Arabidopsis thaliana: one gene and its partners. The protein of the gene in region 3 interacts with the protein of the main gene of each other region in a pairwise test. Each region holds a gene or a part of one and is shown on either strand. Other genes may lie near its edges. The genes, in order: CAT6, ABCG10, TMT2 and CNGC18.

Region 1 (8,276 bases), on a different chromosome or scaffold from region 3:
CTAATTTTTTTAGTATTTTTTTAGCCGTACTTGTTTCTTTCTTCACACGTAGTTTACTTTACTTGTTTTTAAAAATGGTTTACACACTTTTTACTAAATTAATTGGATTGCAAATATGAAGTGGATACGTTACGAAGTCGACCAAGACGCCAAGACCGACTCTTCACCAGTATTGAGCCACGTGTCTTCTGCCAATTGTTTTGCGAGGATACTTTTTGGCATCGGACTGGTGCATCTACATGACGTGGCCTCTTGTTTAATCGTCACCTGGCTTTCCAATTTCCAAATAAAATCTACTAAGCTCTTGCTATTTTAAGCTTTTTATCTGCTACCATATGTTTCAAGTTTTGATATTATCTTCAAAAATATGGGAAAATAAATACAGAAAAATCAAAAAAAATAACTGTGAGTATGAAAAATATGGGGCGATTATTGGATGATAAAAAGAAGGTATGAAATTTCTGAATTGAAAAAAATACATAGAAAGGAAATTAGAAGAGGGGATAAATTGGTGAGGTAAATTTTGAATCAAACATTAAATTAACAAAAATGTAGTAAAATAGGGGGAAAAAAAAGTTTTTTTTTTTTTTTTGGAAATGTGTATGGGCTAGTAGCCCAAAAACAAGGAAAACACAAACTATTGGACTGGACTGATCAAAATAGTTAATGAGCGGTTTTGGTTTATGTAAAAAAGAGAATGGGCCTTTTAGATAGACTCTTTAAATAGAATTTGACAATCTCTTAAGTTATCTATTTATGGATAAATAAGTGATCCAACTTTAACTAGGTGAATTTGACAATCTTAAACTAGTAGGGAGTCTCACTCATGAACATTTTACATATTTATTTTTAAAATACTACACTTTCTTGAATACACAGCTTTTTTTTTGGGTGATATAATAAGGTATCTTCAAAAATTTATATATGAAATCAGATCCTAATATCTTGCTTTTACTGAAACCAAAAATTGTGTTTACAAAACGGCTCACATATCGGATTGGCACTCAAAAGTCAAATCACATATTTTGCCACGGATTTTATATAACTTCAAATATATGGAGAATGGAATTTTTGTATTTTTCAATTAGAAAAAAATACTATAGGGAAAACAGAGATGGGCAGGTCTGGCACAGGGCGTGTGAGACGTGGTCGGATTGAGGCAACCTGAATTTTGCATCTTATCTAAAATTCAGATTTGACCATCCCACTCACTGTATAAACCACTCCACATTATCTTTTTTATTTATTTCATTATTACTCTTTTGTGTACCCAAAAATGTGAGACTTATTGGTGACCATACAAGTCATAATTTATTCTTGTCGAAATTAATTTATATATAAATGTATGCGTATGTGTGTTGTAGATACGAATATGTGTCAACGTTGCTGACACTAATCTAATTATCATTATTGTGAACAAAGAGAGGCTTAAGAGTGTTCGATTGAAGTAGATATTTAATACTATTTGTTTGGATAAGGTAGTGTTAATTCAATGCAGTGCGCGGCCAACCAAAAAATAAAAAGATCAATTGCAACGTGTATCCAGTTACGGGTATGATTGGGAGCGATAGAACTTTTACATAAACATACACAAATCATTCTACAACACTTTTTAATCAAGTTTCATAGATGGTTAGATGAGTTCTATTCGAATTAACCTTATAGTGAGTTTTGGTGTGGTAAAAATAGTGTTGATTTTGGATTACATATACACATGCGGTTAGTTGGTGGTGTTGGTGATTTTGGATTTTGGATTTCAGTGAACAGCATCAAAGGCTCCGAGTTCGACCCATGAAAATAAAATCAGTCAATCCATTGCTTCTTCTTCATCTTAAAGCGTCGAGTCTAATGCCGATTTCTCTATGGAGAATACTCATCAGGATCATGATACAACCTGCAAACATGTTGCGTTGCCCTTATCACAGAGAACAGATCACTCATCTTTTTTTTCAAGAACTCACTCATGCATATTACCACTCACACATACTATCAAATAACACGGCACTAACACTAAAACAAATTACTAAGTTACAAACTGTACCAACACAAGATTTGCGGTTATTTATTCCTCTAAGTACCAAACTATTCGTGTCCTCGTTTTAAAACATTTAAATGCAGAGACAAAATCAGTTGAAGAAGACCTTAATTAGCTGCAAATATGCGATAATATTTTCCTAGTAATGCCAAGTTGCCAACTATAAAAAATGAGAAGATTGTCGAAAAGAACCAACTAATTACAAAAACTCATTTCCTCAAATTCTGGTCACGCTTCGCTTTAAACCTGTGTGCTTATCCATTGAAAACAAAACAACATCCCACGTGTCACCTTCTTTGCCACACGTGTGAATCTTAAACCACACATAGCCGTTAGAGGTAACGTCGTTACCGTGTCTTATGATATACGGAAGTTAACGCCGTTTGTTTAGTTTTTTCTTTTTAACGTCCGTGACGGTTTCATAACCTCGGGAACTAAGTAAGGAAGAGCTTTTGAAGCAGAGAGTCGTTACGTTTCAAACAACCGATCATAGTCATAGACACAATTATGGTATTAATTTCATTAATTAGTACTAATTCCCTATCAATTACAAGGAACGCAATTACAAAATTTTGTCTATAATAACATCAATTTTAGACCCTCATTTCAAGGAAAAATGTGGGAATGATTCTCCAATGACATATTTATGATTAAAAAGTTCATTTCTCAGGTTCGAAATATTTTGACCATTTTGAAATATACTAATAATGTTGTTTAAAAACATATCTTATTAGAATGTTTATATGGTGTTATAGTGTTGAGATATTTTTTTTAAATATAAATAATTGAGTACAAATCTATAAATTTAAACAATAAAGAGTGTTATTAACAATTAATGATAAGTAGTAAAAAAAAAAGAATATTCTTCAATAAAAACCGTAATTCATTTTTTTCCTATTTTTTAAAAAACAAAACAAAATAAGATAACCATAGGAAATGCCACTCTGTTACAACTCAGCAGTCTAATGATATTTAATAAAATACCAATTTTAGTGGTTTATGGTCAACAAAAATAGTTTACAAGCTTAGCTAGATGTGAATACATACTATATACTACCAAACTAGTTTATGATTTGTATATGAATCAATAAAAGCGTTAGCATAATTAGTATATATAAATGTAACTGTAATTGGACCAAAGAGATAAAGCATCTTGGGTTTAGTAAGCTTTTGAGCTGATGATGCTTATGTGATTAATGTGAATATAAGAATTAGGGAACAATCTTGTTGTTAATAACAATACTTATAACATTTAAATGCCCTTAAGTATCGTCATAATTACATCTTTGTCCCTATCCTTCTCTTTTTCACTTTTCCTAATCTCTAATATAAAACCAACTCTTGTCAAATTCAACAAAATTCTCACACAAACCGACCCGACCCGAATCTGGCCGGTGAGAAAATGGAGGTCCAAAGCAGCAGCAACAATGGTGGTCACTCTTCTTTCTCCAGTCTCCGCGTCTACCTCAACTCTCTTTCCGCGACGCCTTCTCGCTTATCCCGCCGCGCTATTTCCGTCTCCACCTCTTCCGACGAGATGAGTCGCGTCCGCGCCGTCTCCGGCGAACAGATGCGCCGTACTCTCCGGTGGTACGATCTCATTGGACTCGGAATCGGGGGAATGGTCGGCGCCGGTGTCTTTGTCACCACCGGCCGTGCTAGTCGTCTCGACGCCGGTCCTTCAATTGTCGTCTCTTACGCCATCGCCGGGCTCTGCGCTCTCCTCTCCGCTTTCTGTTACACCGAATTCGCCGTCCATCTCCCGGTCGCCGGCGGTGCCTTCAGCTACATCCGTATCACATTCGGTTAGTCTCCCGCGAAAATCATCACTACTCCTCCGATCTGTTCACGGTTTTCTGAAAATTTTAATTTCAAAATCAAAAACCGTAACTGATTTCTTTTCTGTTACATTTCCGTTCAGGTGAATTTCCAGCATTTTTCACCGGAGCAAATCTTGTAATGGATTACGTAATGTCAAACGCGGCCGTTTCGAGAAGCTTCACCGCTTATTTAGGAACAGCTTTCGGGATCTCAACTTCCAAGTGGCGATTCGTCGTCTCCGGTTTACCGAAAGGATTCAACGAGATTGATCCAGTCGCAGTTCTCGTCGTCCTCGTAATCACAGTCATCATCTGTTGCAGTACAAGAGAGAGTTCCAAAGTGAACATGATAATGACTGCATTTCACATCGCATTCATATTCTTCGTGATCGTGATGGGATTCATAAAAGGAGATTCAAAGAATCTATCCTCACCGGCGAATCCAGAGCACCCCTCGGGATTTTTTCCGTTCGGCGCGGCGGGAGTTTTCAACGGAGCTGCCATGGTTTACTTAAGCTACATAGGATACGACGCCGTTTCAACCATGGCGGAAGAAGTTGAAAATCCGGTCAAAGATATCCCCGTCGGTGTTTCCGGCTCCGTCGCAATCGTCACCGTTCTTTACTGTCTCATGGCAGTCTCTATGTCAATGCTTCTGCCATACGATCTGGTCCGTACTTCAAATTTATTATTTTCTTATTGTATATTTCCGTTTTCATAAAGACGGCACGTAGTCTGAGTCTAAAGCTGAAAACGGCGGGGCATGTGTTGTTGTAACGCAGATAGATCCGGAGGCGCCGTTTTCCGCGGCGTTCAGAGGATCGAACGGCTGGGAATGGGTGACGAAAGTGGTGGGGATAGGAGCAAGCTTTGGGATATTAACATCACTTTTGGTGGCAATGTTAGGTCAGGCTCGCTACATGTGTGTCATCGGACGGTCCAGAGTGGTCCCCTTTTGGTTCGCTAAGATTCATCCCAAAACATCTACGCCAGTCAACGCCTCCACTTTTCTTGGTACGTTTCTTTGTCTTCATTCATTCATCAAAAAAACATTTATTTAATTACTGTCAAACAAACAATGATGAAATATAATCAAATCATATATAGTTAAAAATAAATTTTGGTCCAGAAAGTGAGATAGAGGAGTAGTAGTTAGGTTAAAAGGGGACCCCAATGAGAACCGTTTCGGTTGTTTCCATGATCTTTTTATTGATTTGAACTTTTAACGTTTTCTCTAAATCATACGATCCACGTGATTTCATTATATATACGTGTCCATTTCAATATATTTTAAAGATCAAAAGCTTTTGGACGTTACCATTTTAAAAATCTTCTGCTATCGATTTCGATCGTGACAAGGGCTATGTACGTTGTGTAAGTATATCTCAATGTAGGGACATGGTTCAATGTGATTTGTATCATTGTATGGTGTTTAAGACAAGAGTCACAGAGAGAGCATCTGAGTCCGATTGCTAGATGTCGTTGTTCACCACTGGTTTTCTTTTCTGCTCTGTGAAAAGTTTCGTGTTTTTTGATTGTTCAAAGATTCAATCTTTTCAACGGTCTTGATTGTGATGGATTTGGTGGGTCTCTTTGGTTCTTTTTGTGTCTCCTTAGTGTTAAAAATACATATTCCACTTTTTTTTAAATAAAAATACGATAGTTGGATTATTAGTCATCCATTGGACGACTAGTAGTTAATCAATCATTTTTTTATTTCATTTTTTTTGTGAAGATACTACTAAGCCTAGTCGGCTGATATTTTGACAACTCCAACTTTTCGTAATTTCCGGAACATCTGGCTGAGCTATGCAACTCGTGAGTTGTTAGGTACCAGGATTTAGAATAATGACCATCTTTGATAAAATACATAGAAGATTGGAAAACATATACTAACGTTTAGAGCCATATTTATATGCATAATCTTTGTAACAAGCATTGTTTTCCTCATTAAGTTACTCTCATGCCTTTGTCACAAAATGGATCATTATAAAGGGGGTCATCATCGTTCAACCTTATCCTTGCTAATTTTAGCACCCACTAACTCACATTTGCTATATCCATCAATAGCATTGACAAAAAGACAAAATAAAGGAACAAATCCTCCCACTACCATTCATTTCAAATTTGGACTTTTTTCACTAGTCGAATCATCTACAGTTATAGAGAATATGACCATTGACCAATCTTATTAACGTTCGTATATTTTATCCCTTATCAGGCATTTTCACGGCGGCTCTTGCGCTTTTCACCGACCTAAACGTCCTCCTAAACCTCGTATCCATTGGAACACTATTTGTCTTCTACATGGTCGCAAACGCTCTCATCTTCAGACGTTACGTCCCGGTTGGACCCACCAAGCCGTGGCCCACACTCTGCTTCCTCACACTATTCTCCATAACCTCTCTCGTCTTCACCCTCATCTGGAAACTTGTGCCGGAAGGTAAGCCTAAAGCTTTCATGCTCGGTGCCAGTGCGGTGGTGGCTATAGCCATCGTGCTGAGCTTTCAGTGCGTGGTTCCCCAGGCTAGGAAACCTGAGTTGTGGGGAGTCCCGTTCATGCCGTGGACCCCGTGCGTGTCGATATTCTTGAACATTTTTTTGCTTGGTTCGTTGGACGCACCCTCTTACGTCCGGTTTGGATTCTTCTCCGGTTTGATCGTGCTCGTGTATTTGTTTTATGGCGTTCATGCGAGTTCTGATGCTGAAGCGAATGGATCTTTTGGTGTGAAAGATGGACAAGTCATGAAAGAGCTAATTGAAGTGTGAAAAGTATTTATTTAGTTTAGTTTTCTAAAGCATCATGAACCAAAATGTAATTAAACTCTCTAATTTTTTTTCTACATGAGGGGGTTTGAAATATTAATGAGAAAATATTAAATACAACTTTAGGAAAAAAAAGAATATGTATTTTGGTTTAACGAACGACCAAAATGAAATCGGTCATATGCAAGTCAATCTGTTGAGAGAATAGAGAAACTGATGATATTTTTGTTTTACCGTTGTGTACAATTCACAACACACAATATTTTTAAATACAGTACAAACTATTAGGTTACAAGTTTTTGAGATTGAAAGATCAAATCTTTGTCAAACCTATAAGGCAAGATCACGTATGAAATATACATGTGATAGATAACATTAATAAATGGAAACGTTAGATAGACATAGGTCTCTCATAAATACGAGATGGCGTACAATTGAAAACGATGGGTCCCCATCTTTCTCACGGGACACACATACGTGACATTATCCGCAACTTCATATATATCCAACAAGATCACCTTTTCTTTTTCATTTTTTTGTTCACAATCACTTGTTTCAAATTCCTTGAGGATATTTATACATTCTTTTATTATTTGCATTTATATATTCTATATATCAATAGTACTATTGAACTTTCGTAAACAAAGAACCATGCACAAAAAGTTTCAGTTTATTAAAGATGTCTTCATTTTTCTACTTTTATTTCTTATCAAGTATGATTTAGTTTATCTTATTGATTTCATAAAGATGAATGTCTAAGGTAGGATCGAATATGTGATCTCAATTAGTATAATCAGTCCAATTATTCTTTTAGTGAACACTACCAATAGGCAATAATTATGTGAGTAATTTAGTTAGGATAACATACATAATTACATTTTTATATATTTTGAAGTGGATGATATAAATCTCGAATCTAAATGAACTGTGTTTAAGTGGGAGACGACACTTGCTTGTATTCTCTCTCTTTTTGGTAACTATATTCGTAAGGATGGGGTCCAAAGAAAAGCCCAATATTTTCAAGATCGTCACATTGTTGGAAGCTTTATTTTTACATTATTTATGGATTTGTTTATAAGAAATATTCTGCCAATAAGAAGATGTGATTCTATTGGCAATACAAAGATTTGATGTCTTTCTAGAAACCCCACTTTACTCAAAGTAATGAGTTCCCTCTGTAAAAGGGTTCAACTCTAAGCGTGATCAGTGCTTCTTTTTAAAACTTTCCTTTATCCTAATTACAAACCTTAATATTGGATTCTACATTGGATTAACTACCAAAATTTTGACTTTTGAGGTTTACAAAAAGACAACATGTATTTTGTTTAACAACGGCCATGAAAGAACCTATTTTCTTCATTTTTTTTTTTTTTTGGTACAACCTGTCTAAACTAACAAAATATCTTGGATTTAGGATCATTATTATTGCATTATAATTATCGGCTATCAATTTCTGAAATGCACTAGAGTAAATGAAGAAAACTAGAGCTTAATCCTTGATTAAATAAATTATATAGAACACGGGACCACGAAAATGTCAACCTCTTATAAACCATTCAAAGCAAAATCTAAGGCAAGTTGTGTAGAAGATAGAGTGAGCCCATTAATCCATAGCTATATAGGTCTAATCAATTATTTCACTTTTTTGTTGACAT
Region 2 (6,112 bases), on a different chromosome or scaffold from region 3:
CAAAGAACACTGTGGAAATGGATCTATATATATACCTGCCAACAACTTGAGCTAGGGTTTTGATGTAGTAATCAATAATCTCGTCTCTAGAGAGATTTCCATGACAACAAACCAATGCTCGAAATCACAACCATCAAGCAAAATCGTATCCTTTGGTGGCCGATTCGACCAGTTAGGGCTCGGATCATTCAGCGAAGCGGAAGTAACCTGCGTAGACATACACCTAGCTAGAGATACACCGGCACGGACCAACGCTGAGAATCCAGAAACGAGAGAACGTGAACGATTCAACAACGAAGACGCAGATCGAGAAACAGTAGGGGAATTGGCGAGAGGAGATGACGAAGAGAAGGAACGAGTGAACAGTGAGGAAAAGGATTTAGCTGGCCGGTGAAGGATGGAACGAGAAATCGCCATTGGAAGATGATAAAAATGGAGAGGTTTTAGTGAAAATGGAAAAACCCCAAGCATAAATGGGTTTAGATGGATCTTTCAAATTTCAAGGATATTATGTAAAACTAAAAATTGTAGTACATATCATTACTATTTTACATTATTTTCAAAATCGTCCCATTGTTATTTCAATTGACATGAGAAACCCATTTGTCACGAAATCATCATAAACAACCATATGTTGAATTCTTCTCTTTCGTCGAGGTTAGTAGAGAACATATCTGGTTGCTCAGTGGGAGTGACATTAAAAACGTCGTCTATGTATTGTAGATTAGGTATTTCAATGATACCTAGTTGAGGATCTCTCAAATAGCTTATAATCTTTGGTAGGACAAGATCCTCCATATTCGTATGCAAATGGACATTGGCAAAGTTATGTGGTAGCTCATATTCCCGTTCTGCTAAGGCCATCTTTTTGTGCTCTTCAGAGCAATACCGAGATTCAGGTGCGTAGACACATGTACAAGACCAGTACGCGAAGGCCTTATCTTTATGCACATAATGCATAACACGAAGATTGGCAACACCCATTGCAGAAACCTGCTAATACACATTGTTAGGTCTAGAGAAAAAAACTCTCTCTCGCAACTTTGAAGATTTTGTTTGCTCTTTGGATTGTCGAGATTGTTTCATTTCGTGTTTTTATATTATTTTTTACTTTTAGTTTTGGATTTGAATCTTAGGTTTAAAAAAGAAAAAGAAAAATTGTGATCAAAACGACATGGTTTGATTGAAGATGATGCTAATTCATTAAACATGGGTCATTTGAGTCGACGTATGTTAGTATTAACTAACATTTGTTATTGCAGATCCTAAAATACGTGCGACCTATAAAGTTTGGATATAATTTTTTTTTTTTTATGAATTTGGGTAAAGAATTAACATTGTACAGTATGTTTTATATAAGAAAACAATACTTTGCAAATTGTACTGGTATAAAAATATCGTTTTTCCAGTCACCCGCTTACGTTTGGTCCAAGTTGTTTTTAATTTTATACCGAATTAAAGTTTATTAGTCACAACTTTAAGTGTTTTTTCCAAACCCAAATCAAAATTCGATTTTTTTCGTCACAACTTTGAATCAGCCCCTTCACCTTTGCAGCCACATCTAACCGAATGCCCACCTAGACAACATCTTATAATGCGTCTTTTTATTATTATTATCCAAAAATAATTAAATTAGTGAGGTTTCTTACGTGATTATTCCTTGTTAATTAAACATCTGAATTTCCGTAAGCGAGTTCGAAACACGTAATTAAATATTGTAGGTAATATATAACAACCAAACTGGGTTTCCTCTCTTTCTTTGTTAGAAAAAACTAATAAATTAGATAAAACAAGTTCACCAACAAGGCAAACATTTCACGGTCAATTTTTCAGCTCACCCGAATTTGAGAATCTCTAGACGAAACCAAATCTCTTTCTAACTAATTCTTTTTTTGCTTTTCTTGTACCTCTTCACAATTTCAAAACCCAATTAAAAAAAAAAAAAAAAAAGAACCAACTACATATCTTAATTTCTTAGATATTTTTTTTGGTCAACCAATTTCATTAGAAATTAAAAAATACAAGAAAAACAACAAATGTTTAATTTCATATAAATTTATCTAACTGTATCAATATTATTTACGAACAAATTCTTTATTAAGAAAAACAAATTAAGCATTTTAAGCTTGGAATCATAAATATCTTTGGTTTAATTTAGTCATAGTCAAGTGCTTTTCGGTTTTCATGGAAGGCAATAAGAGAAAGCTAATAAAGTCTTGAAGCTTTTGAATGTTTGAATAATAAAGGAGAGGTTCCTTAAAGTTTGGTGTGTTAGTTCATCTTCTCTACCATTTATTCTTCACTTAATCTCACACTCTTTGCTCAATTTGTTGATTTCTCTATCTCTCAAAGTTTGATGCTTTCTTTTTCCTTCTTTCTTTCTTAGATGGAATTGCCGGTAAAAGCTCCTATTCCCGGTGGCCGGGAAATCTCATATAGATTAGAAACCAAGAATCTGTCGTATAGAATAGGCGGAAACACTCCAAAGTTTTCTAATTTATGTGGTTTGTTGAGTGAGAAGGAGGAAAAGGTTATCTTAAAGGATGTTTCTTGTGATGCAAGATCCGCGGAGATCACTGCGATCGCGGGTCCAAGCGGAGCAGGGAAAACCACGTTGCTGGAGATTCTAGCCGGAAAAGTTTCTCATGGGAAAGTTTCAGGGCAAGTGCTTGTCAACGGTAGGCCTATGGATGGTCCTGAGTACAGGAGGGTTTCAGGGTTTGTGCCACAAGAAGATGCTCTGTTTCCGTTTCTTACGGTGCAAGAAACACTGACGTACAGCGCACTCTTGAGGCTGAAGACAAAGAGGAAAGACGCGGCTGCAAAGGTGAAGAGGCTGATTCAAGAGCTTGGTCTAGAACATGTTGCGGATTCAAGGATCGGTCAAGGATCAAGATCTGGAATCTCTGGAGGAGAGAGAAGAAGGGTTTCTATTGGAGTTGAACTTGTTCATGATCCAAATGTTATATTGATCGATGAGCCAACCTCTGGTTTGGATTCTGCGTCCGCTCTTCAAGTTGTGACGCTTCTCAAAGATATGACGATTAAACAAGGTAAAACCATTGTTCTGACGATTCACCAGCCTGGTTTTCGCATACTCGAGCAGATAGACCGGATAGTGTTGCTCTCTAACGGGATGGTTGTTCAAAACGGATCAGTTTATAGCCTTCATCAGAAGATTAAGTTCTCCGGTCACCAGATTCCTAGGCGGGTAAATGTCTTGGAGTATGCAATTGATATTGCAGGGAGTCTTGAACCGATCAGAACCCAGAGTTGCAGAGAAATCTCATGTTATGGTCATAGCAAAACATGGAAGAGTTGCTATATTAGTGCAGGAGGAGAGCTTCATCAATCTGATTCTCACAGCAACTCAGTGTTAGAGGAAGTGCAGATACTCGGGCAAAGATCTTGCAAGAACATCTTCAGAACCAAGCAATTGTTCACAACCAGAGCCTTACAAGCTTCCATTGCCGGTCTTATACTGGGGTCGATTTACTTGAACGTAGGAAATCAAAAGAAAGAAGCGAAAGTCTTGCGAACCGGGTTCTTCGCCTTTATCCTCACTTTCCTGCTATCTTCCACAACAGAGGGACTTCCAATTTTCTTGCAAGACAGGAGAATCCTAATGAGAGAGACATCGAGAAGGGCTTACAGAGTTTTGTCTTACGTTTTAGCAGATACTCTCATATTCATTCCCTTCTTGTTGATCATAAGCATGCTCTTTGCTACGCCGGTTTATTGGCTGGTCGGTCTCAGAAGAGAGCTAGACGGCTTCCTCTACTTCTCATTGGTGATATGGATTGTTCTTCTGATGTCAAACTCTTTTGTCGCATGTTTCAGTGCTCTTGTCCCAAACTTCATAATGGGGACATCAGTAATCTCAGGTCTCATGGGATCTTTCTTCCTCTTCTCCGGGTATTTCATTGCAAAGGACAGGATCCCCGTTTACTGGGAGTTCATGCATTATCTCAGCCTCTTCAAGTATCCATTCGAATGCCTGATGATCAACGAGTATCGAGGAGACGTGTTCTTAAAACAACAAGACCTCAAAGAGTCTCAGAAATGGAGCAATCTTGGTATCATGGCAAGTTTCATCGTCGGGTACAGAGTCCTTGGATTCTTCATCTTATGGTACAGATGTTACAGAACAAGAAGCTAGGTTAATAACAATGATCTGCAGATATAATTCAATTTGTTTTGTAATTTTATAAGAAATTTTACTTTCTCATATTCTTTCTTTTTGTTCAGCACTTTCTTATATTCTAAAATTCGCAATGTAAAGTAACAAAAAAACTTTCTGATAAAAACAGAGTAAACTCGTTTATTTATAAGACAGTTTTAAGCATCACACTTAGTACAAAGCTCACCACAACAACGGTACACTCATTGATCGTTTGATACTAAAGCCTTTTTCTTATTAAAGTCACTCTTACCTAAGATACTCATGAGTTTACACAAGTGTTGCCTTTGAGAGCTGAAGTCCTTTCTCGCGCCCGTAAAACTTCTCTACAATTGCAAGTGCAAACTCCAATGAGGTTCCTGGACCCCTGCTCGTTATGAGATTGCCGTCCACCAAGACTCGATGCTCGATGTGACTCTGGTCCGTCAGTTTGCTGCACATTGCTGGAAACGCTGTTGCCTTCTTACCCTGTAAAAAAATCCATTAAAAATTGTGACCCTTCCCTTAGTTTTAAGTGCAAAAATAACGGTTTGATAACAGAATACTCCATGCCATCGGATATATAGTAATGATCCTACACATCTAAGCAAATGTGTGTGCTATTGTGATTACTCTCGTACCTTGAGTAAACCATGTGGCTCAAACACCAGAGCAGGAGAGGCACAAATTGCTCCATATGGTTTGTTTGATTCCGCCTGCTTCTTTAACATATTCACTAGCTTCTCCGAACTTGCAAATGCTTCAGCACCGCCGAGACCACCCTGATAATAAAAAGAGAAGTTCATCATGTTGGCCTCAACTTGCTTGACACTATAAACTTTAGTAATTTGAAGAAGTTAGCACTCACAGGCAACACAATCAGATCGTACGAATTCTTTTCAGCCTCGTCGAGAAGCACATCTGCCACCAGCTTGACTTTCCGAGATGCTACCACTTCCAAACTGTTACCAAGCGCAGCTACGACAACATTTGCTTTTGCCCGCTTCAGGACATCAATGATAGCAACAGCTTCCATTTCCTCCGAGCCATCTGCAATGGGTACAAGAATCTGAAAAGGAAAAACATGATCTCTCAGTGTACGGAAGATTGATTAAGAAAGACGCATGAGCTCAGTAAAGCAAGTGTGAAAAGTTTTGCCAGTCTTTTTTTTCTTTTCATTTTGCCAGACAGGCAATTGAAAGCTACCTGTGGGGTACCCTCGAATGACCAGCTGACTTGGTTAAGCTCAGTAATAGTATACTCATCACCAGGGTTGGGACGCATCACCTGATATGCAAAGGGGAAGAATAGAGACTAAGAGGTTACCATGGAATAAAGCCTATGCTACCAAGGAATGGTTGTTTCTTTGTGGAAACCTAAATTTTTCAGTGTCCTATATAGCTTTCAACTGTCTGTAATCTCACAAGAACAGTCACTGATCAGTGGACAGGGGAAATAATGCTGAAAAATTCAGCCACAGGCCTAGGCTTCAAGGAAATCACAGTATTAGTGAGGTCGAAAACACGTATTTGTATTTTTTTACATGAACTAACAATACTAGGGTGCTTTAAAGAGTGTTAAATCAAATAAGTGCTCCCCTCGAATCAGCTACTAAATATATCCTTCTTTGCGGAGAGCCATCTTCTCAACAGAAACTGGCCTCTAAGATCTGTCGATTATTTGGAGACCAAATTAAGGTTGATAGAAGAGTCAGGGATAAGACATACCAAGGGGCCAGAGACTTCAACAGCTTTCTCTTTCCCAAGAAGTTGCTCCACAAGCGTGACAGAGAATTCCATGGTAGTTCCAGGCCCTCTACTGGTCACTATCTTCCCATCAATTTCCACTCTTGACTCAACAGCTGTCGCACAAGCCGCTAGTTTCTCCATAAAAACCGGGTAACATGTAGCCTGCAAGCAACGTATGTGATTTATACACCAAAATACAAACTCA
Region 3 (8,332 bases):
ATCCAAAATCCGCTTAGTTTCAAATATCTTTATGTAAATTTAGAATAAAAACAAAATAAAAAATAAAAAAAAACTTTAAAAGTCCGAAAAAATTGACTTAAAAACTTGGATACTAAAATCTTCATAAAAAATAAGAAAACAAGTTGAATGTTTGGAATCGCTAACGACCGAGGTTGGATCCAAAATCCGGTTAGTTTCATATATTTTTATGTAAATTTATAATTAAAAAAAAAAACCGGAAAAATTGACTTAAAAACTTGGATACTAAAATCTACATAAAAAAAATGAAAACAAGTTGAATATTTGGAATCGCTAACGACCGAGGCTGGATCCAAAATCCGGTTAGTTTCATATATCTTTATGTAAATTTAGTATCAAAACAAAACAAAACAAAAAAACGTTTAAAACTTTTAAAAATCCGAATAAAAAACTTGGATAATATATCTACATAAAAATGATATGAAAACAAGTTGAATATTTGGAATCGCTAACGATCAAGACTGTATCCAAAATCCAGTTAGTTTTCATATCATCGTTATGCAAATTAAAAATCCGTGAGAAAATCGATTTTTGGGAGGAAAAAAAAAAAGTAAATAAGAAGGGATAGGAAATGAACCTCAATTTGTTGATGGGCTTCTGAGTATTATATGGGCTGAAAATGAGATTTGCAGTCCAAGCCTCTTTCGTCCACCGCCATGTCCGTCTTCCCCGTGTGCGTGTCCGTGACTGATAAACCAAAAGCCTCCGATCATCCGATGAATCATGAACCGGAGAAACCCAAAAGTCGCCGATCATCCGATGAATCATGAACCGGATAAACCCAAAAGCCTCCGATCATCCGATGAATCATGAACCAGAAAACGCAAAATCTTCCGATGAACCATTGCATTGAAGACAGGGTAAACAAAATCCGGAATCCTTTGAATTCAAACAAAAGTAGAAAACTTCCGACGACGGAGACTGAGAGAAGATATCGTAACGCCATTAACGAGAGACAAAGGAGGAAGAAGAAGAATCAGAGTTGAATTAGAAGCGAAGGAAACAGGAATCGAAGAAGAGAATGGTGAAAATCAGAGCAATTGCGTATGTAATTTCATCTCTCTCTCTCTCACTTAAGAATTTTCTATCTCTGAGAAGGGTTCCTCAATTTATAGACACATCGTTTGTGTTTGGGATTCAAAGTTTCCTTTTTTCTTAACGGCTCTTTGTTGTTTCCTTTTTCTTTGTTATTTCCTTTTCTAAAACAAATTTTGGATTGTTTCCTTTTTCCACTTAAAAAGCTTAGAGCAATGAGAGTCTCGCACGTGCCCTCATTAGCCAAGATTCGCAAGAAAACAATGGATGATATATTTGGCATTAGCTTTGAAACGTGTAGCGACTGATTGTAGCCAAACCATAGAGCAGCTTGTGTGATTGCAGAAACAGAGCTCGAGGCTACAAATCACAGAGCTCGAGGCTACAAGGTTTAGAGTTTGAGCAATGAAAGGAGAAGAAGCGAGGAAAGACGCTGAATTGCTCAAGAATTATAGGTGAATAAATCACTTTCTGCTTTGAATGGGAAAGAAGCTGGAGCATTTGGTCGCACCATAACTGCGGTTGCAGTGATTGACACGGCGGAGAAAGGTTACGAGATCGGAGAGAAAATGGTCCAAGTGTTCTTGAAGATCGGAAACTTGAAATCTACTGCTTCTGTGAAGAAACTTGATAAAGTCGGAGCTAGACTTATCGAAAGTATGTAATTGAAAGTTTACGGATTTGTTCTATGGATTCTGCAAATGGTAAATGGTAATAAAGAGATTCGTAACTGAAAGTTTGAAACTTTTTTTTCTCCCCACATGAAGAAGACGAAACAGAGAGAGATGATTATTACTGCACAAAGTAAAAAGACAACAACAAATCCACATGAATATTACACAAACTTTTTATCTCAACAAGTCTTTCAGTTTCTCACTCGTTTTTAGCAGCTTCAGCTTGTCTAGCTCCAACAGAAAAGAACTCTGTGATGACTTCAAGTGGCATGCCTTTAGTTTCCGGGACTTTAATGAACACAAAGACCCATGAAATGCAACATACGATTGCGTACATTCCAAACACACCAGCTAGTCCAATGGATTTGAGCAGCACGGGGAGACTGTAAGTGACGATTATGTCACAGATCCAGAAGGTGAGTGCGCAGATGGCGATGCAGATTCCGCGGACTCGAGTTGGAAAAATCTCTGAACAGAGGATGTTTGGAGCAGGACCGAAACCCATCACGAAGAAGCAGAAGTAGAGCACAACGCTTACGGTTGATAAGACCGCGTGCACAATGCTGTTCATGTGAACAAGATTTGAGATTACTAAAACCAATAGAGATGCTATCAGGATTGGTATCGTGGTGAGAAGCAAGGTCCTGCAAATATAAAATAAAAGACATTTCATAACGCATTTTAGCTTGTTTCGTTTATGTGTATTGTAAGAACAAAGGAAATTTAAGTTTTAATCACCTTCGACCAGAAAGATCCATGAGCCTCATTGCAACAGCTATTGCAGGTAACATCACAAAGGTTGTCAATGCACTTATAAGTAAGGATGCTGAGGAAGAACTAATCCCCATGTTCGATAGTAGGATCCCGACACCCGCCTGCTCAAGGATTTGCGGTGTGTAGTAAAGAACTCCGTTGATGCCTGAGAACTGCATTTCCAAGAGGAAGCAGGAAAACATAGAATTAGCATAAACCGCATTATTTCTTCTGTGATTCACTAATTTTGATGTGGCTATCTAGACTACCTGCTGAAGTATTTGAAGTCCAACTCCTACGACTAATGCACGCTTGACTCCAGGATCATGAAGATCATGCCAAATTGACCCTTTAGTTGTTTCGGATGGATGTACCATAGCAGGACCAATTGTATGTTCTTTGAGAAGGTCTTTGGAATAAAGAGCTGGTTGGCTAACCAAAGCAGACGCTTGTACAAAATCTGCCTCACCGGTTCCATCACCACCAGGCAATGAAACAATTGAGCCACGTCGAGATCCTGGGAAACCTTCTTGATGCAAGTATATCCGTTTAAACCCACCTTCTTTCTGTCCCGATTCATCTTCTCTTTCCGTCCATTTCCATGCCACTTGCCATCCACCTCCAATCCCCATACTACCCGCTCCTTCCCCTTGAGCTCCCTGCACTTGACTTCCATGTCTGAAGGTAGAAAGAGTTCCATGAGCAGTGTGAGGCATGTCTTTCTCCATGCTTGTCGTTTGACGTGAGATCAACGGAGAATGAAGATCATCTTCAGAATCATCTCCATGGTCGGATGGATAATCCTCACCTTCTCCAACAAGATTCTCTTCATCCCAATCTTCATGTCTTGGTTGATTCCCTCCAACACTGAACATACTCCCAAAATGTGGGAACAAGGCACTCCTCATGCTTCCAGTGTCCGGCATCTTCTCGTGAACGCTCCCAAACAGTGTGACAAGAGGATCAATCAATGAGCCTTGCCTCCTGCTCATTGTACTTCCATGGCGAGACAAAACACTCATAGTGCTTCCTCCTTTGACTGGCCTAGCAACCCAACTCAGCCCTTCTTCTGCACCATATAACTTAATTTGATCCTTATCCACAGCTATATCATGATCATCAGTAACTTCATCCGCGGGACCAATTATATATTCCTCTATGGTTGTTTCACCTCCAATTCCAAGACCCTCAACCAACAAAGCCATCTCACCTATACATTGCCACATAAGAACATTCAATAGAAAAGATTGGTTTCATTGAAAGAATTAGAGTCAGAACGATTTAAGACTAACCAGACACATCTTCGCGACCACGCAGTCTCTGAAGAACCCGCTTTGCTTCAAGCATTCGACCTTTGCTCACGAGCCACCTTGGGGACTCGGGCAAGAAGAAGACCGTGAGGAAGAAAAAGACAAGGGAAGGGATGAAAAGGACACCAAGCATCAATCTCCAGCTAGGTGATGGCATCAACGACATTCCGAAAACCATACAGTAAGATAAGAACATCCCTCCAGAGCCAGTGAACTGCGGTAGCGTATTCAACAGTCCCCTAATCTCAGGTGGTGCAGTCTCAGATATATAAATAGGAACAAGTGTGACCACAAGACCAACCCCAAATCCATCTAACAACCTTCCTAAGAGCAACACATAAACATTCGGAGACCATAGCATTACTAGAGAACCAACAAAGTAGAGAATTGAGGACAATATTAGCATGGGACGGCGACCAAGCCAATCAGCTACCCCTCCAGAGCATGTTGTAATCAGAGTAGCACCAATAAGTGACATCGCCACAATTAGACCTTCCACTGATGGATTACTCTCCAAATTAAACTCCTTTTTTATGTACAACACAGCTCCTGCAGAGTACCCAAAGAAAACTTAAAATCCATCACACAAGCAAAAGAGATAAGCTAAAAGATCTGTGAATTGTATCCATAAAAATCCTGACTTTATCGATCCTAAATTTCATAAACAGAATTATGGATACAGAAGATAATCAATCACCTGCAATAGTTGCGTTATCCCATCCTTGTAACAAGTTGCCAACAGCAGCAGCAATAGCAACAAGCACAGCTCCACTCATAATTCCGTCTTCTATCTTTTATCAAGAAATCTGAAGAGAATTTCGCAAAAACAGAGTCACTGATCAACGACGATGAGTGAGTGAAACAAAATCCACCTGAAAATTCGAAAATCAGACACAATCACTTGGTGAGCTAAAAGATAAAACAGAGAGAGATAACACCAAAAAGCATGACCTAAGACTATAACAAACCCTTTAGTGACGTAAAAGACACATACCCAAAGGAGTTCTAGAAAAAAAAAACAGAGGTGAAACCTCAGATGTCAAAATCAAAACTTTGAATAAAATTTGACTACTTTTTATCTCTACCAAGTAGAAGAGAAAGTAAGAAAGTACGAGAGAATATGATATACAGAGAGAGAGATGAAAACTAGGGTTAGCAACTTGGAATTGGAGGCAGAAGAAGCCACTATCAGTGAGCCGCTGCTTCAATGGCGTCACTAAGCAATCATAAAGCATTGTTTACCCTTTTGGTTTAAATCAAAAAAAAAGAAAACGAAAGCTAGATTTCGAAGTAACCGTGAGAATATAAAAATGAATACTTTTTTTTTTTGTGCGGAAGGACAGTGAACAGAGAGAGAAGCCTATGGGATTAGTGACACCTGCCGTTTTGCTCCTGTCCTCTCAAACCACGTATGTGTATTGTGTGTGTATGTCTCTCTTCTCTTTCTCGTGTTTGCGTACAGAATTTTTTCAGAGAATTAAGTACATCTTTAAATTTTGTTATCTTTTCGATTTGGGTCCACGAGTTTATTCACGGGCCTATACAATCAAATTAATATCTCGAAATGTTTCTGCTTTTTACCATCTTCGCTTTCATGAAGTAAAGGTAAAAACGGATATTAATTTGGGATTTTGTATGTAAAAAGATGAGTTTAATGTCGGCATAATTGGGGAAAAATATTTGGTGTTTTTTTGTAAATATGAAACAAATATAGGATTGGTTTTTGAAATCTTAGATTCATTGGGACTTATACGAGAAACTAGAGATAAATATCTGAGTTTTCTGAAAACAAAGTTATTGGTAAAGTAAAGTTTAGTTTGTTTACATCCGGAAAGCATCTTCAAATCATTTCAACTTTACATAATTAATCAAGAAAGAAAGAAACAATGCAATAATGGAGAATAATGTCCAAAGTCCAAATACAATGAGACACTTTAACTTTAGTTAATTGTGAGTCGTATTCGTATGTTACAATATAATGAATAGTTTTTTCTTCTTCACTTTACTATTCTTCTTACAGATTAAAAGGGAAGAAAAAGAATGTATAAAAAATCATATTGAGTTTTTTTTTTTTTTAGAACCGAGTACCAAATTCGATATACAGTCTCTAATTCTAAATGAATAACATTAACAAATTTTGATCAACGAAAAACAAACCATGTGACTACGACAACTACTGGTTTTCTGAAAATAAATATCTATCGTCCGTATATCAAAACTTGATATGTATAAAACAAAAGATATATTGTTAAACGTCGTTGTTAAAGTTCGTATATTTGACCGCAAAGATTACCATAAATGTATTTAGAACATAGGAAAAACATCTAATTGGTTAATAAATATTTATGACTCCATATTTCTTAGATATTTTCCGGAAATGAACGTAGTACAAGCGTTATGTTTGGAACTACAGTACACACCACAGAATATAAACACGCAATAGAATCTTTTTTCATAGACTTTGAAAGTTATGGCATGTGAATGCGAATATATAAAGATTCTTGTCCACATCCTCAATTAATCATCATCATTGCTTCTTAAAAATTCCGTAGAATGAGGAGAAACGTACCATTTATGTTTACTGGTAGTAGTGATTACTGATTTAAGATATTATTCTTGGGAAAGAAACATCTAGTAACAACATTTTGAAAAGAAAAAAATCAGAATGATTATTACGGAAAAATGAAAAATTCAATAACGTTATGTTTGTCACCAAACTAATGTTAAAACGAATTCAAACCAAGTTGGAGAGATGTTACAGGACAGTTTTGCTAAAAAAAATCAGCCAGCACATTGATACAAAACCCAAAATATAATTTTGCTTGTGTACGTGGAGGTGTCAAATTTGATTCAGTCTTGTGAAAATGTCAATTTGATAGCGTTTATAATTAAAATTTTCGGTTCTTTTTTTTATCTGGAATTGAAATGTGTAATATGTTATCATTTTAGGCCTTATTGTAAGGTCTAAAGTCTAAAACAATACAATAATACGGCCTTTGGGGTGTCTGAATTTTGTATTTGAACATTGGGCTGGATCAGTGAATAAACAAGGCCCAAAAGTAAAACTTATTAGGGATTATGTGCGGGGCTCCAGAAAGTTGCAATATATGGAAAAGTCAATCTCTTACGTCATAATAGTCAGTGACGCCATAATACTGTTTAAATATTTGGCATATCTTTATCTTAAGAAAAAATCTCAAGAGATTACTATTCTTTCTGATAGGAGATTGAATGAACGGTTGCTTCTTTTACAAGTAGATCACATGTATTTAAATTAGTCTTCTCATACGACGAGAATAAAACCATCGTGCTTAATACTTAAATTTTTTTACAATTAACGGTAACTAGTAAAACCAGAAATGCATTTTGATTTTGTACAAACCAACATTCTAATTTTAGTTTTTTTTTTCAATTACAATTTAAACGATAAACAAAAGAGAAACTGGTTTAAATTTAATAATGCAAAAGCAGAAGAAAGAAGGTGAGAGGAAACAGCGGAGAGAGACAGAGTCAGAGAGGTGTAGAAGTAGTAGCTGGTGAGCACTAATAAAAGACCTTTCTTCGCTCAATCGCCGCCGTAAAATAAAACACCATCACATTCTCATCCAACGAATCTAATCTATCCGACCAAACCAAAGCTCTTAAAAAATCTATTTTTATTCTTACTTCAATCTCTGAAATAAATAAACATAAAATATTGTAGCTTTCCTTTGTTGTTCGACTTTTCTCTTTTGTCTCCCCTAAATTTAGTTTCTCCTTTTAAGTCAGATTCCTTCCTAATCCCATTCTTTCAGTCTTCTCTTTCGCCCTTCTGAGTTCAACAACTGGTAACTAGATCCTCTTTTTGCTTTACTTCATTCTCTGTTTTGTTATTCCTTTAAAAGATCCATCGAAACTTCTTAGCTCTTTGTCTTTTTTTTGGTTATTTTGACTCTTTGATCTGATGTGGGTTTTGCGTCTTTCTTTACTTGTGGTATTGTTAAAGTTCGTTACTTTGTTCTCGTTTAGCTTCTTGTATTTGGTCTAATTTAAGTCTTTTGACTTTTGACAGTGTTATCTCTATGAACAGTTCCTTTGATGAAGAACACAAAGTGAAAGTTGCTGTCTTTATAACCAGGATTTGGTAATTCCCATTGTTTCATGGGCAATTCTTGCCGTGGATCTTTCAAGGACAAACTCGACGAAGGCGATAACAATAAGCCTGAAGATTACTCTAAAACCTCTACCACCAACTTGTCTTCTAATTCCGACCATTCACCGAACGCTGCAGACATCATTGCTCAAGAATTCTCCAAAGACAACAACAGCAACAACAACAGCAAAGATCCAGCTCTTGTTATTCCTTTAAGAGAACCAATCATGAGGCGTAACCCAGACAATCAAGCTTACTATGTTCTTGGTCATAAGACACCAAACATTCGTGATATCTATACCCTTAGCCGCAAGCTAGGTCAAGGTCAATTTGGAACGACTTATCTATGTACAGAGATTGCCTCAGGCGTTGACTACGCTTGTAAGTCA
Region 4 (7,331 bases), on a different chromosome or scaffold from region 3:
CCCTTCACGCGCGCAACCAAATCTCTCCAGCCTTTCTTCGAAGCAGAACTCAAGAATCTTGAGAAAGTTTCTTTCATGGTCTCCGATGGATTCTTATGGTGGACATCGGAATCCGCCGCTAAATTTGAGATCCCGAGACTTGCCTTCTACGGCATGAACTCCTACGCATCGGCTATGTGCTCCGCCATTTCGGTACACGAGCTCTTTACCAAACCGGAAAGTGTTAAATCTGATACTGAACCGGTTACTGTACCGGATTTTCCATGGATATGTGTTAAGAAGTGTGAGTTCGATCCGGTTTTGACCGAACCGGATCAATCGGATCCAGCGTTCGAGCTACTCATTGACCATCTTATGTCCACCAAGAAAAGCCGTGGAGTTATAGTGAACAGCTTTTACGAGCTCGAGTCAACGTTCGTTGACTACCGGCTCCGTGATAACGATGAACCAAAACCGTGGTGTGTTGGGCCTTTGTGTTTGGTAAATCCTCCAAAACCGGAGAGTGATAAACCGGATTGGATTCATTGGTTGGACCGGAAACTAGAGGAAAGATGTCCGGTTATGTATGTGGCGTTTGGAACGCAGGCTGAGATATCGAACGAGCAGCTCAAGGAAATAGCATTAGGGTTGGAAGATTCCAAGGTACGTTAAAGAATGGATTAATGCCAACTTAAAACCTCATATTAATACAGTTGACCAATCACTTTTATTATTCCACCAAATTCCATGCATGTCCTTTTATTTGTTTTTGGTATCAACCCATAAAACATTTTTTAGTCTATATATATATATATAAAGAAAAGTATTGTTTTGTGAATTTACGTGGTCTTGATTGTTTTAAAAAGGTCAATTTCTTGTGGGTCACGAGAAAGGACTTGGAAGAAGTAACTGGAGGATTAGGGTTCGAAAAGAGAGTGAAAGAGCATGGGATGATTGTGAGAGATTGGGTAGACCAATGGGAGATATTGTCACATAAAAGTGTCAAAGGGTTTTTGAGTCATTGTGGATGGAACTCGGCGCAAGAGAGTATTTGCGCTGGGGTTCCACTACTCGCTTGGCCAATGATGGCAGAGCAGCCACTCAATGCGAAGTTGGTAGTGGAGGAGCTAAAGATCGGAGTAAGAATCGAAACAGAAGATGTAAGTGTGAAAGGATTCGTGACAAGAGAAGAACTTAGTCGAAAGGTACCGTATATATACCCTTTCATGTTTCCATCTTTTGTTTTAATTGGTGTCATGCATATATTAGAATAAAATGTTTTGAATATGGTAATCATGGCTTTGCTTTTTGACTAACAAATTAACAAGAAGGAAGCCTCTTTTTCCGTTTGACTGTAGAGTACCCCTTGATTGTATTTATTATTTGTACTATTTAGGTTAAACAATTGATGGAGGGAGAGATGGGGAAGACAACGATGAAGAATGTAAAAGAGTATGCGAAAATGGCGAAAAAAGCTATGGCTCAAGGGACTGGTTCGTCTTGGAAGAGTTTGGATTCGCTTCTGGAAGAGCTTTGTAAGAGTAGAGAGCCAGACGGTGTTAATAAGTTGTCAAGTTCTGATGCTTAGAGAGATTAAGGATTGGATAACAAAACGGCTTCGTACCTAATTTTAGTCATTAAATATGTTAGGTTTGTTGAAAAGTTGGTCCATTCTTCTCAATTGGATATGAATGACTAATTTGGAGTTCTAATTCTTGGTTTTGGTCTTATAGTTTCAAAAAATTTCAATTGCATTCAGTGGTTGCTTTATGAGATTTTTGCTATCTTTGAGGTTAATATTGGCTGGTCAATCCGAAGAAGCTATCAACACCTTAGTGTTCTTCTGAAAGACTTAAAAATGAGTTTGTATGCAAAAGTAGTATCTACTATGAGAAGAAATCAGACTATATAACATTGAGACAGTTTAAGAACAATGTATTTTTACTCTACACTCGTTTTCTATATCTAACATCCTCAAACCGAAACGAAAAGAAAAGAAAAATTACAAGTTGAAATAATTAAGGGAGTTTCCTAACTATTTACCATCTAAAACCAAACAGTTCACACAAAAGTTTTTTGCCCATAATGACTACACTTTAAACGTCTTCTTTATCTATAGAGAAATCAGGCTCATCTGGTTTGAATAGTTGAGGCATCTTCAAACTGGTGGAAGATCCATCTTTCTTACCAGTACTACTACTTGAAGCCTTTTGATTTGTTCCTCTTCTCGTGTTCGCCGCAAATTTAGATGCTAAGATCGTTGCTCCCAGATTTGTGTTGTCCATTGATCCGCCTTCCTCGTCACTTCCATAGTAATACTCTCTAGTTTCTTCGTCTTCTTCATTGTAACCTGTTTCATCCGGGTAATAGTATCCGCTACTCTCGTGAAGGCTGAGCTCTTTCGCAAGCTTTCTTCGCTTGTATCTTCTCCATGCAGATTGGACAAAACATGCTCCCCATGCTCTCCATTGATGTGAGTAGTACCTGAAAGCGTGTTGAAGCTTTTTGCTTTGAAGACGTTTGAACTGATGAGCAACAAACTTAAGATCCTCTGCGCTTAATGCAAAGGCTTCTACTTCAGAGAGGGCACGGACGCTTCGTGTTGAAGACGGAAGATTGAGTGTAGAGTTTGGCATTAAGGCCCATGTAAGAAGTTCTTCCCCACAGAAATCGCCAGGTCGTAGAGTAGTGGAGTTGAAGAAACCAGATCTTCCTCCATTTGTTGTTGAGCTCTCTATTTGTCCTCGGATCACAAATAGCATCTCATTCACCGGATCACCTTCACGGAATATGTATGTCCCGGCCGTGCTTAAAGATGAGACAAGGCATCCGCATATAGCATCAAGAAGTTGATCATCCATTTGAGAGAAGAACGGGACCTGCACTTACCACAACAATGTGACTTCTGAATTGAAAAACAATCAAATCCATAACAGTTTTTGATGACTGAGTTGATGTATGTACCCGGCGAACAAGGGAGAGACAAAGATGACGTTGGATTTCACGGCGTAAATCTGTAGGTAATGAATGGAGGATTGATTCTTCATCGACACCTCTGGTTGCAAGCCATTTGTATTGGACAAATCTTCGGACACGTTCTTGAAGCTCTGGAGGTAGTTGACGATGTCTCATCCATTCTTCAGTGTCTCTTCTCTTAACTCTCCATTCCTCAACTCTTACTGACATCGATTGCAGAGAAGACTTTCCACCAAATTAAAAATCATGAAGTCTATTGTTAGAAAGACAAAAAAATGTCTCTGTATTGAAAAGTTTTGCAGAGTGATGCATAAGCTCTGAATCTTACTTGCATGTTACCAATCAGGAGTGTGAAGAGAATCAACCCAAAAATACAAATTGTTATACAGAACAAGGTCTCGCCAAGGTATACACTTGTGGTTATATTCTGTCCATAAGAACTGTGAAACAAAACCTTTATTAAAACCAAAGGAGGACAATTTAAGCAGATACTGGTTAGATAAAAGGTTGTCATACCTTAGATTTCTTAAACCCCACCAAAGACAATACAAGTACTTGGACACAAAATCTGTTGTAGCAACTTGAGTGGTAAAGGCTTCAGCAAACATTCCGAATTTGAAATTGGTAGTGCTGCTTGTAGCATCACAATGAGAAAGGACCTGAGTAACGTTCTGCCAATACTGGCGCTCTGGTTGTTCTAAACTCTTGCAATCCAAGAAGCTAGGAAGACAATCCAAAACTCTCAAAGCGTTGTCTTTCTTGCATACGTTGGACCAGCACGAAAACTGCCGCCCGATTGATGACAGATACCACATTGCTCCTAACACCTGCCCACAAATAGAGATTCTTAGCAACTTAAAACTGAAGAAACCTAAAGATTTGAAAAAACACACAAGATAAAGAAAACTTACGTGACTAGCAAGGATGTACAATAGGAGGTTGTATGCAGCTCCTGCCCAAGCAGTCTTGGCGATAAACCCGGTTGTTTTGATAATCCTTTGGTTGAGTGGGAATATGATGAATGATCTTGGAATGTATTGAACAAGAACGATAAGTGCGAGAGTGCTATTGGCATGATTAGCAGTTCCATTTGTGGCCGCTGGAATTACTAGCCAAATAACAAGCTGAGATCAAAAGATAGTCAGAAACAAAGCATGAGGCTCCCAAAATATCTCTGTTCTTTAATCTTCTAGCTACCGCCTAACGATTTTTGAACATTGATCTTAGCTAATCGTAATCCATATCATTGCTTTCACATTCAAAATAAGAGCAAAATCTTAAGAACCTGAGGAAGGGGAAGCATGGCGGCGACATCAATGAGGAAATCTGTCTTCAAGTATCTCATAGCAATCTCTCTAGAATCCATAACAAGCTCACCGCGACCAAAAACACGAGAACTCCTCGCGACGAACGCAGTTCTGAATTTCATGAAAATGTGCAAGAGGTGGAAGATATCGGCGACTGTACGGAAGAAAGTGACAGTAGCGGCGAGGCTGATGTCGATGGAGAGACACGCCGGACCACCGACGTAAGGGACGTAGAAATAGAAAGGATCGAGGAAGAGAGCGAGGATTGAGGTAATGAGAAAGACGTGGTTCCAATAGGTGACGATGTTGCTGTCCGGGTCCAGGATCTGATGCCGCCATAGGACGCTGAATTGGCTACCGTCAGATCCTCGATTTGAGGCGGCGGTGGAGGCGGAGGTTATGGTCTCCGGGAGGAGGCAGCGGAGAGACCGGATTTTATTCATCTTCCATGGCGGATTCCGGTGTTAAATCGGATTCCGCATTAACACAGAGAGAGATTGAGATTGATGGACAGAGAGGCTAGGTGGTTGCGTCGTGTGATTTTTTGTTTTTTTGGGTTTTTGCATTTTGTTTTTGATGATTATGGAAGAAGGAGAGGATTTCTCGCGGGAAAACTGAGAGAAGGGCCATGGAAATAGGGGGAAGGGTAGTTTTTGAAAATATGATGGGAGAATGAGGGTATTTACGGAATGTTATAGTTGCGGGTCTCGTTTGTTTATGCTGTTTTTGTGTTCTCAAAACAGCACACGTTTTGCATCTCAAAACTTCAATCGACACAATATCTACTGTTCTTAGTTGTTGGACCCACCGGCCCAATAGTTATAGATCGGCCCAATAGTTATTTTTTTCTACTTTTTTTCTATGAAAATCAAAGGGATATATACTATATATGCTTTAGGATTTTAAAATTACACATTATAATGTATACAATTGCTATGATCATTTCTATTGATAAACTAATAATGTTTTTAGTAGTTTTAACTTAAAGTCCGGTTTAATATTGTTTAGTTCAATTGTTCAAAGAATAAAAAAAAAAATTATAATTAATTCGTAAAACCATGATAAGATTAGTTAAAATATCTAATTCGTTATGAGGTTCATTAGAATTTATTTAAGTGAATTATTGAAGTTTTATGAGCTACATTTATTATATTTTGTCAACACATTAAACCCGTAATTCAATTATACTGTCTTTTGTAGTATTTCCGTTTTTGACATCAGTTTAACAAATTGTCTTACATAATTCATTTGTTGTTGTTATGTACTATTAAAAGTATATAGAAGCACGCGTACCAAACATTCTGTGACAATATGTGGTAGTGGGAAGATAGTGTACATGCTTGTTGACACCATCCATAAGATAGTGTACCTATAAAATAACAAAAAGGGAATAGAAATCCTTAGAAACAATTATGCGAATATAAAAGGGATAATAAGAAGTGAGAATAATAAAATGAATACTGAAATTAAAAATTACGTCACGGAAAAATGATGTTTATCCACACAAAAAGAACAACAACTTCCATCATATCATATAGAGGGACATACTAACTTTTCCACTTCCAAAAAATCACACTTATGCGTAATTGTTTTCTCTAACAATAATGACGTATTTTAGTCCTTCAAATTTTAGTACTCCATCATTTTCCGATTAGACACAAAGTAGTAATTTCAATATAAAAAATTAATAACAAGCTTTTATAAATGATTATGATAACTTATACTAACATATGTGACAATATTGTTTTCTCTATGCTTGTTAAACGTAATTAAGAAACAATGATGTTAATTACTCCAACTAATTCATGGATCTAGAAATACGATGTTGGTTAAACATTATTATCGACTAATTTATTACTTCGTTAATGGCTGCTATTAAGTATGACCACGTGTGGCAGATTTGAGATGTTTAGCGATCTTTAAATATAGAATCCGACGGGATCCAATTCTCCTCTTTTTTTTTTATTCCACTTTGCCACTGTGATTATATAATAAGTATGATTAATTAAGAGATTTACATTCTATTGATTTACTTTATTATTTTATTCATGTGGAGTAGACTATACGACAACTACTTTATCGTTACTTTTTAATTTTATTTTTTAGTGAAAATTTGCTAGTCAAGTTTAGAAAATTCAAAATAGCATTTCACTTTTATATGCACGATTGATTTCGTTGCTTATATTAAGATAAGGAAAACAAATGTTACTCTTCCTAAAAAAATTGTTCTTTGAGAATACAATTTACGTGTTCCTCTTTTCAATAAAGTCGCTGGTGTTTATGAAACACACATTAGAAAGAAAAAAAAAAGATTTAAAACATTTATGAAGATGGCAAAGGTTCCCACTTCCCATTGTAGGAAGCAACAAATTTCCTTTTTGTTTGATTAATATAAATGCTTACGGGACGCAAGAAGAAATTTCGTGATCGTGAACATATTAATCATTTGGGACCCTAATGAAAAAGACTAATAAAATCTTTTGTTTTATCGAATAAAAAGTAGATTGTAGTTTTGTGAAGTTTAAAGCACTCGCTTATCAATTGTTTTATCTAAAGAAATAAGATAAGCTGCTTTCAAAGTGGTAAGAGTTAGGTCTTGATAAAAAAAAAGTCTTGAAGGTGGTGCCACACCAAAATCCTTGCACCTTTCTATTACATACACACGTGTATAGAGATTTTTAGTCATATCTTTGAATAAATAATCTTTGGATATATGTATAGTGAATAATTTGTGGGTTTGAGAGTTGGAGAGGATGAACTACAGGTCACGTAATATACCCTAAAATAAACCATCACGAAAGAATAGAATAGAGAATCTCTTGGTACTATCAAACAAACAATAAAAAAAAAAAAAAGTAAAAGTGACGAAGACACCAATCTATTCATTTCCCACCCATCTCCCATTAATATTTCTTTCATCTCTTATTATTTTTTACATGCATATTTTTCTATCTCTAACCTTTTGTTTTTGGTTCACTCAAAATTTGTGGTACTTTGATCCACATATAATATTTGCATATGTTAGTACGGTCTTATATAATAGCCATGTGATAGTAAACCCTTTCACAA

What was found.
Region 1: the proteins of TMT2 (region 3) and CAT6 interact in a protein complementation assay, tested with the Arabidopsis thaliana proteins (one large-scale study listed by BioGRID).
Region 2: the proteins of TMT2 (region 3) and ABCG10 interact in a protein complementation assay, tested with the Arabidopsis thaliana proteins (one large-scale study listed by BioGRID).
Region 4: the proteins of TMT2 (region 3) and CNGC18 interact in a protein complementation assay, tested with the Arabidopsis thaliana proteins (one large-scale study listed by BioGRID).

Annotation. Positions count from the first base shown.
Region 1 is NC_003076.8:1,375,681-1,383,956, forward strand, and holds CAT6 (cationic amino acid transporter 6), read left to right. Parts: upstream 1-2,940; 5' UTR 2,941-3,437; coding exon 3,438-3,840; exon of another isoform or gene 3,841-3,956; coding exon 3,957-4,525; intron 4,526-4,637; coding exon 4,638-4,869; intron 4,870-5,590; coding exon of another isoform or gene 5,591-5,622; exon of another isoform or gene 5,623-6,076; coding exon 6,077-6,624; 3' UTR 6,625-6,798; downstream 6,799-8,276. UniProt on the Arabidopsis thaliana protein: Permease involved in the transport of the cationic neutral or acidic amino acids.
Region 2 is NC_003070.9:19,860,492-19,866,603, forward strand, and holds ABCG10 (ABC-2 type transporter family protein), read left to right. Parts: upstream 1-2,329; 5' UTR 2,330-2,386; coding exon 2,387-4,159; downstream 4,160-6,112. Other genes in the region: AT1G53265 (uncharacterized protein), read right to left, coding at 607-984; DJ1B (Class I glutamine amidotransferase-like superfamily protein), read right to left, coding at 4,451-4,648, 4,801-4,941, 5,028-5,228, 5,366-5,446, 5,887-6,069.
Region 3 is NC_003075.7:16,794,485-16,802,816, forward strand, and holds TMT2 (tonoplast monosaccharide transporter2), read right to left. Parts: upstream 5,328-8,332; 5' UTR 4,588-5,327; coding exon 4,509-4,587; intron 4,361-4,508; coding exon 3,794-4,360; intron 3,712-3,793; coding exon 2,771-3,711; intron 2,675-2,770; coding exon 2,487-2,674; intron 2,393-2,486; coding exon 1,948-2,392; 3' UTR 1,740-1,947; coding exon of another isoform or gene 1,530-1,739; 3' UTR 1,464-1,529; coding exon of another isoform or gene 1,389-1,463; 3' UTR 1,299-1,388; downstream 1-1,298. Other genes in the region: AT4G35295 (homoserine kinase, putative / HSK), read left to right, coding at 849-899, 1,389-1,463, 1,530-1,739; CPK5 (calmodulin-domain protein kinase 5), read left to right, coding at 7,952-8,332. UniProt on the Arabidopsis thaliana protein: Sugar proton-coupled antiporter which contributes to vacuolar sugar import (e.g. monosaccharides including glucose, sucrose and fructose), particularly during stress responses (e.g. in response to cold).
Region 4 is NC_003076.8:4,806,193-4,813,523, forward strand, and holds CNGC18 (cyclic nucleotide-gated channel 18), read right to left. Parts: upstream 4,902-7,331; 5' UTR 4,706-4,901; coding exon 4,241-4,705; intron 4,080-4,240; coding exon 3,867-4,079; intron 3,783-3,866; coding exon 3,472-3,782; intron 3,396-3,471; coding exon 3,284-3,395; intron 3,181-3,283; coding exon 2,944-3,180; intron 2,859-2,943; coding exon 2,076-2,858; 3' UTR 1,899-2,075; downstream 1-1,898. Other genes in the region: AT5G14860 (UDP-Glycosyltransferase superfamily protein), read left to right, coding at 1-642, 846-1,184, 1,376-1,567. UniProt on the Arabidopsis thaliana protein: Cyclic nucleotide-gated ion channel required for directional pollen tube growth into the transmitting tract. Acts as a Ca(2+)-permeable divalent cation-selective channel inhibited by either lanthanum or gadolinium.